Linked DNA regions of Callithrix jacchus. The protein of the gene in region 1 binds, or shares a complex with, the protein of each later gene. Links are inferred from orthologs where the notes say so. Each region holds a gene or a part of one and is shown on either strand. Other genes may lie near its edges.

The links.
Region 2: the proteins of MIDEAS (region 1) and DNTTIP1 are in contact, whole or in part, in a cryo-EM structure (PDB 6Z2J), measured with the Homo sapiens proteins. The link is inferred for Callithrix jacchus from reciprocal best matches to the Homo sapiens genes MIDEAS and DNTTIP1. Residues at the interface, in NP_001036783.1 of Homo sapiens: Gln768, Asp771, Leu772, Thr774, Ala775, Ser778, Ser779, Ile802, Leu803, Leu806; in NP_443183.1 of Homo sapiens: Pro63, Ser66, Leu69, Leu70, Ala72, Val73, Leu74, Pro76, Ser77.

The regions. Positions count from the first base shown.
Region 1 is NC_133509.1:108,642,422-108,645,921, forward strand, and holds part of MIDEAS (mitotic deacetylase-associated SANT domain protein), read right to left. Parts: intron 2,833-3,500; coding exon 2,766-2,832; intron 2,294-2,765; coding exon 2,151-2,293; intron 2,025-2,150; coding exon 1,921-2,024; intron 1,439-1,920; coding exon 1,363-1,438; intron 672-1,362; coding exon 583-671; intron 1-582.
Region 2 is NC_133506.1:41,032,029-41,036,144, reverse strand, and holds the start of DNTTIP1 (deoxynucleotidyltransferase terminal-interacting protein 1), read right to left. Parts: upstream 2,801-4,116; 5' UTR 2,733-2,800; coding exon 2,628-2,732; intron 2,047-2,627; coding exon 1,976-2,046; intron 784-1,975; coding exon 687-783; intron 1-686. Other genes in the region: WFDC3 (WAP four-disulfide core domain protein 3), read left to right, coding at 3,653-3,720. UniProt on the Homo sapiens protein: Increases DNTT terminal deoxynucleotidyltransferase activity (in vitro). Also acts as a transcriptional regulator, binding to the consensus sequence 5'-GNTGCATG-3' following an AT-tract.

The DNA of each region.
Region 1 (3,500 bases):
TGGAAAGATACAATTGCTTGGATTAGCAAAGCGTCTGCTCCTCCAGAAGAACATTGGGAGAGGACAAGATAAATCTATGGACAGTAGGCTTCAACAGCTGAGTTACTGGAAGGCAACTCTGGGTCAAAGGAAGCAGGTAAAGCTACGCAGGTTACTTGCTGGCTCTCAGTTCCCCTCACCCCAGGGCGCCCTCCCCTCCCACCTTCCCCTGGGGAATGGCTCACCTCTACTTGCCACCCTTCACCCCGTCTTCCTCCTGCTTATTTTAAGTCTGATGCCCTTAGGCCTCTTTCTGGATTGAGACCCCAGAGCCTGAGGTGGGGAAAGGATGCTTAGAACCAATAGGGAAAAGAAGCCTAATCTTTCTTTTTCTTGTATTGTCTAGAAAATTCTCTCTGAGGCTATGCAGTAGCATTGACCTGACTGCTTTTTTCTCTTTTTTTCCCCTTCTGGTTTGTGTTCTCTGATGAAGTTGCAGACCTGAGTGCTTTTTAAGAGGGCTTGGTCACAGGCAGAGAGAGCCCCGAAGTCACACAGGCAGCTCCAGGCCCTCACTTGACCCTGAAACAGAGCCCAGCTCACCAGCTTCTGCACCAGGAAGAAATCCTTCTTGTAGATGGCAATGCCTTTGTTGAACAGCTTCCTCTCGGCCATCTTCCACTGGTCAGAGCCTGTGGGGCAAAGAGGCAGCCAGGGAGTGAGTTGGGAAGAGCCTTGGCCACTGCGGGGCAATTCTGACCAGCAGGTAAGTGTGAGACCATTTGCCCATGGTCTCTGCAGGCATCAGAGCTGGCTCCTCGTCCCGCTTCCACCACACACTAGCCATGTCACTCAGAGCCTCGCTCCCTTGCTTGTGAAATGGAAACTAAAATTGCCTGGTTCACCAGCTGTGGTGAGGATTAAATGAGATAATGCATGTGAAACCCTTGGTGCTCTGCCTGGTGCAGATGAAATGTAGCACTAACATGGACCGAGAACAGCCGCTGCTAGGATTATGTGACTCAGTCCATGTCCTTCTTAAAGTACATTGCCCAGAACAGGACATGCACTCCCAGGGCTAAGTTCCAGGTACCTGATGCCAGTTTGGATGGCTCTCCCTGGGTTCCTGTCCCTGTGACCTGGGCCTTTTTGCCTGGATGGGCTTCCACCTGCCTACTCCCTTCTCCCTTCCCCCTCCAGGGTACAGGAAGCCCCTGGAGAGCTGCCCCAGCTTTGGTGGCTGTTCTCTCATTCTGACTCTTGGTTTATCTACCCTCCTCCTCCCTGCCCACACCCAGGGCTTCGACTCAGCACTGAGCAGGGCCCTAATGATGCTGGAGACCTCGACACTCCGGGCACCATGCCCTCTGCTGCCAGGCCCACCTGTGTAGTGATAAGTTGCCAGTGGATGGTTGTGGGGCCGCAGGGGCTTCTTCAGTAGCAGCTTATTCAGCGTTTCCTGGAGGGGAAGGGAGGGAAGGTTCAGGGCCCTGGCAGGGATATCAGTGGTGGATATATCTTAGGCTCTGTTAAATTCCTGAGTAGGGTGGGCACTTACCCTTGGCCCACCTTAACTACTGACAGATAAGAGGTTGGGTCCAGTGGGGTGGTGAGGTCATAGGGGTGGGGCTGCCCAGAAACCGGGCCTCAGGGCCTCTTAAGAGAGCCTTGGCTCCAAGGGAAGCAGCACTGCTAGAGAAGACCCTCAGCAACCATCCAGTCTGAGTCCAGTGACCCAGAATCAGGGATGGGCATGGACAGGGGGACACTGCAAAGCAAAACCTGGGGTCTGAAACTAGGGCTCCCTTGGGCCAAGCCCCTATGGCCCCTTCCTTGGTCAACTGGCCTCAAATATGCATGCCAGTAGGCCTAGCTGAGTAGAGACATGGATCCAAGCCAACCCCTCGAGGGGCCCTCCCTCTGCTGAGGGTGCCTTCTCACCAAGATGTCTCCCCTGGACTCGTGCAGACAGTGCAGGGCCAGCTCCTGGTTGGTGCCAGCACCAGGGAAAATGCTGGAGCAGGCAGCTGTCAGCAGGTCTTCAACTGGATCCGTAGGAGTGTGAGGAAGGGAGGAAACCACTTTCAGTGCAGGGCTGGGTGGGATGAGACCTGGCCCACCCTAGTGCGGACCAGCCTGCCCTCACTTGTTGCCTCCAGGCCCCTTCTCACCTTGCCTCTGCTTCTCCCGGCTGCTCTCTAGGTCCTCCCATGGCTGCCACACCAAGTCGGCCTTGTGGGGGTCTGCAGCTGCCAGGGCACGGTCCCTCATCAAGGGGATTTCTGCCTGGAACCGGGAGCCCACATTGATCCGTCTAGAGGAGTAAAAAGGGCAGGAGGAGGTGAAGCCTCACCTTGCGGGGACAATGGACTTGATTATCCCTCAGGGTGGGAAGAAGATGGGGGGAGCCCGCAGAGCAAGGCCTCAGCTAGGTGCAGTGGGTATGACTTCTAGGGGACTGGGAGGGCAGCCACTACCAGAAAGGCAAGATCCAGAGATTGGAGAGGGGAGAAGCAGCTCCAGGTTTACAGATGGGAAAGACCCCACTTCCAACTCTCCTAGAGATAAGTTCAAGCTGAGCCAGTCCTTGCACTTCCCTGTAACTTCCACACAGAGGCAGGGCGGGGGATAGCAAATCCCAGGGCCAAATACGAAAGCCCAGGGAGGCCCTCCCAACCCCTCTGCAGGCCCAACAGAACCCTCCTGTCACTCCCAGGGCCCACCTGCACACACTGCACCAGTGTGGCCACCTGCACACCCTGGGCCAGGGGCAGGGCTGCACTTACGGCTCGATGCTCACTGGGGTGGCCTCCCCCATCACAGAGAGGACAGGCGGGGTGACTTCAGCACTGTCTATGGGACAAAGAGAAAGTTGATAAATAGCACCCTCCTTTCAGCAAAGCATCCCCAACTCTAGTGGCTGCCCTATATGTGCAAGAGTTACAGTGGAGATACACAGAGCTCAGGCAGGGAACACAGGCATCTGAGTCCTGGCTCTGCAGCCTGCCACCTACAAAACTCAGGCCTTGCCCTAAATATTTGAGTGCCTCAGTTTTCACACTCACCAAAAGAGGCTATCACTACTGTCTTCTAGGGTTGAGAATTGGATGAAATAATGCACAGAGGCTGGCACTCAATAAATATTAGCTATTATTATTACTGCTTCTACTACTAAAGCCATATCCCTGCCCCCAGAAGCCCCAGCACTAGAAAATCAACTCCAACATAAAACTGGCTTTTGTCCAGGCACAGTGGCTCACGCCTATAATCCCAGCTCTTTGGGAGGCTGAGGTTGGCGGATCACCTGAGGTCAGGAGTTCAAGACCATCCTGGCCAACATGGTGAAATCCCGTCTCTACTAAAATATTAAAAAATTTTGGAATGTAGGAAAAAGTAAGAGAAAAAAAAATTAGCCAGGCATGGTGATTTGCGCCTGTAGTCCCAGCTACTCAGGAGGCTGAGGCAGGGGAATCGCTTGAACCCAGGCAGCGGAGATTGCAGTGAGCCGAGATCACACCAGT
Region 2 (4,116 bases), on another chromosome or scaffold:
CACTTTAGGTCAGGAGTTTGAGACCAGCCTGGCCAACATGGTGAAACCCTGTCTCTACTAAAAATACAAAAAAATTAACCAGGTGTGGTGTGCACACTTATAATCCCAGATACTTGGGAGGCTGAGGTGGGATGATCACTTGAAGCTCAGAGTCTCCTCTTTACCAGTCCTCTATTCTTTCTACTGTTACCTTGTGCACTGGGGATCCCAAAGCTGCTATGCATGCCAGTGGCTGGGATATAAGTCCCATGTAGGGTCATCCTTACCTTGTCACTGTTTACAGAGAGTAACTGTTTGTTTATTGCTACATCCCCAGTGCTTGGAATAGTGCCTGGTAGTATGGTAGTGGCTCAATAAATACTTCTTTTTTTTTCTTTTGAGACGGAATTTTGTTCTTGTTGCCCAGGCTGGAGTGCAATGGCACAATCTCAGCTCACTGCAATTTCCACCTCCCAGGTTCAAGCAATTCTCCTGCCGCAGCCTCCCGAGTAGCTGGGATTACAGCCATATGCCACCACACCCAGCTAATTTCATATTTTAGTAGAGACAGGGTTTCTCCATGTTGGTCAAGCTGAGCTCCTAACCTCATGTGATCTGCCTGCCTTAGCCTCCCAAGGCGCTAGGATTACAGGCATGAGCCAGTGTGCCCGGCCTCCCTTGTTATTCTTTTATCCTGTGTCCCTCACCTTCATGTACTTGTTGAAGACAGTCTGGATCTCCTCATTGATGCTAGGCTGCAAGACAGCACGAAGCAGATCCATGGAGATGGCAGGATCTGTGAAACTGCATTCAGGAGGGAGACAGGGTGAGGGAGCATGTCCCAAACATATTCTTTCCCAGCCTGCCCAGTCAATTTTGGACATAGAATCCTTTGACAATACTAGACAGCTTTTATTGAAAACTAGCTACATGCTCTGATTTTGTGCAAATCACAGAGGCATGACTTTATTTCATTCTCATAATAACTCTATGAAGTGGGTATTTTCTTTCTTTCTTTTTTTTTTTTTTAAAGAGATGGAGTTTCACCATGTTGGTCAGGAGGCTGGTCTCGAACTCCTGATCTCCTGATCCACCCACTTTGGCCTCCCAAAGTGCTGGGATAACAGGTGTGAGCTACTGTGCTCAGCCGTGGGTATTATTTTCAAAGTGTTTTCTTTTTTTTTTTTTGAGATGGAGTTTCACCCTGTCACCCAGGCTGGAGTGCAGTGGTTTTTGGCTCACTGCAACGTTTGCCTCCTGGGTTCAAGCAATTCTCCTGCCTCAGCCTCCTGAGCAGCTGGGATTACAGGCGTGTGCCACCACGCCTGGCTAATTTTTGTATTTTTAGTAGAGAGGGGGTTTTTCACCATGTTGATCAAGCTGGTCTTGAACTCCTGACCTACGGTGATTCATCCGCCTCTGCCTCCTAAAGTGCTAGGATTACAGGCGTGAGCCACTGAGCCCGGCCATCAAAGTGTTTTTATGAAATATAATACAGAAAAGTCTATACACTTTAATGAGTAATTACAGTGAACATCCATTTCACCACTACCAGCATCCCAAAGGTCCATCTTGTGCTCTCTCCCTTTTCTGAGGAAGATACTATTAATCACTCTTACAGTTGAGAAAATAGGGGCTCATCAGAGTCTGCACAAGAACACAGTTGTCTGACTCCAGAGCCTGTGCTCTTAAACTCCATGCTATCTGATCTCTTTAGAGTCCTCAACCACAGAGCCGGTGAATATGAGGGATCTTAGGTATTGTTTACTCTACAACCCATGTCTTGCACCCTTTCCCATTTTGTACATGAGTTCAGAGAAGGAAGTGAATTGACTAGCTCAAAATCACACAGAGTTACAGAATCGGAGTCTCCTCTTTCCCAGTCCTGTGTTTTTTTTACCGGCTGTAGATCTCCATAGCCTTGTGCACTGGGGATCCCAAAGCTGCCATGTAAGCCAGTGGCTGGGATATAAGTCCCATGCAGGGCCAGCCTTACCTTGTCGTCATCTGTGAGCGGCGGCCTCTCCGCTGCACCTGCCGGTGCTTTATCATTATGTTCCAAGGGTTCTGTGGGGGACCAAGTGAATAAATATCACTGCGGTTGGTGACATTGGGATGGGGTGGAAGTGGAGGGTGGGTATGAAGTTAAATCTAGACATCCCTGTTTCTCAGATTCGACACCATCTCTCCCACCTTGGGGTAGCGGGGGAGGATAACAGTTGGAAGGCCTCCGCTTTGCGCGCCAGAAAAGAGGAACAAAGGAAGTTTCCTGCCTTAAAAGTCCCTACCCCGCCTTTCTGGCACGGCAGGAAGAAGGGAAGCAGTGTATACCGTGGGTCAACTCTGTGCCAGGTGATGTACTGGGCGCTGTATCCGCCTTTATTTTCCCATCCCACAACTTTATGAGACAGGTACTAACCATCTCCATTTTATAGAAGAGGATCCTAAGGCTCAAGGGGTTGACAGAATCGGCCCACATCACCTAGCTAGGCGGGCGGCACCAGAATTTGAATCCAGGTCGTCGGGCTGCGAAAACGCCAACCCCTCTGCAGCTCCAGCCGCCGCATTCTCTCGCCCGCGGGCCAGGGTCCCAGGAAACCCGAGGCCCTGCCCTGCCCGAGCCCAGGCCTCCCCCGGGGCGCCCTCACCGTGAGAACCAGCTGCCCCGCTCCGCCCGCATCCCCCAGCTCCAAGCCGCCTCGCTCGGTCCCGCTGGGTCCCCGCGGCTGCTCGGCGTCGCCAGTGGCTCCCATGGCGCCCCCGGCCCCTACTACTTCGCTCGACTGTGCCACCGGCCAGAAGGTGGCTCCGTGACGTCACTGAAGCGCGCTGCTGTTCAGCCCGGAAGCGCGACGCAGGAGCTGCGGGTTACCATGGGAACTGAGCCACCGTCCCTTGCCGGGGACAGTGTTATATAGAGGCCTTGCGCGTGGAGGTCGTTGGGGCTTCCTCCCGGGAGGGTTGCGCCTCGATTGTGGAGTGTGGGTGTTCAGTGGCGGTTCAGTCAAGGGATGTTCCCCGCTGGGCCAAAGCCGGTGGATGACTGCGGTGTAGGAGGAGGGGAGCAGGTTTCTGTAGGCTGGGGTTGGGGAGCAGAGGGAAGCGTTTGGTACAGTGGCGCCTGCAGTTCAGTTTTTGAAAGCTAGATTTTAATATGGTCGGCCAGGCGCTGTAGCTCACGCCCGTAATTTCAGCCCTTTGGGAGGCCGAGGCGGGAAGATCACTTGAGGTCAGGAGTTCGAGACCAGCTTGGCCAACATGGCGAAACCCTGTCTCTACTAAAAATACAAAAATTAGCCAGGCGTGGTGGCACGCGCCTGTAGTCCCAGCTACTTGGGAGGCTGAGGCAAAGAGAATTTCTTGAATCCGGGAGACGGAGTTTGCAATGAGCTGAGATCGTGCCATTGCACTCCAGCCTGGGCAACAGAGTGAAAAAAAAAAAAAGATTTTAATATTCTGGACCCTCAGCCTCCAACATTGGAGTGGGCCTAATGCGAAGATTGGGGCACTCAACAAAGGGGCCTCCAGTCCGTGCCATCCCAAAACACTCACTGGGTCTCTCCAGGCTTCGACCCCAGTGGCTGCCTCTTGTGTCTGAACGCACCAGAATGAAGGCTGTGTGTTGACCAGTCCCAAAGATCTGAGCCTCTGTCCCCAGACAGGTGATTCTGGGATGGGCTGGGGATGCAGGAACTTAACAAGGTGGAGTTCTCCAGAGGTTCCCTTAGCTCTGTCGCAGAGGTAAGACATCCCTGAATATAATTGGATCCATTTATGGTGGTAGAGCCTGTTACTCTTTCCAAGTCACAATACAAGAGTAGTGGAAATTGCATGAGTCTTGCAGTTAGAAATATCTGGGTTAAAATTTGGTATTGTATGGTGGTTAAGAAAATTGGCTATTGGACTGGCTATGGAATTGGAATTGGACTGCTTGCCTCTGTTTCACCACTTATTAGTTGTGTGACCCACAGTTCTTAAACTCTCTGTGCCTTCATTTTCCCAACTGTAAAATGGGGATAACAGCATGTAGTTTGTAGGGTTGCAGTGAGGATTAGTGAGTTAACTCATGTAAAGTGCTTAAAACTAGCATGAGTAAACCCTCAAACAATGCTGTCCGTAGTTACTATTATGAAATTC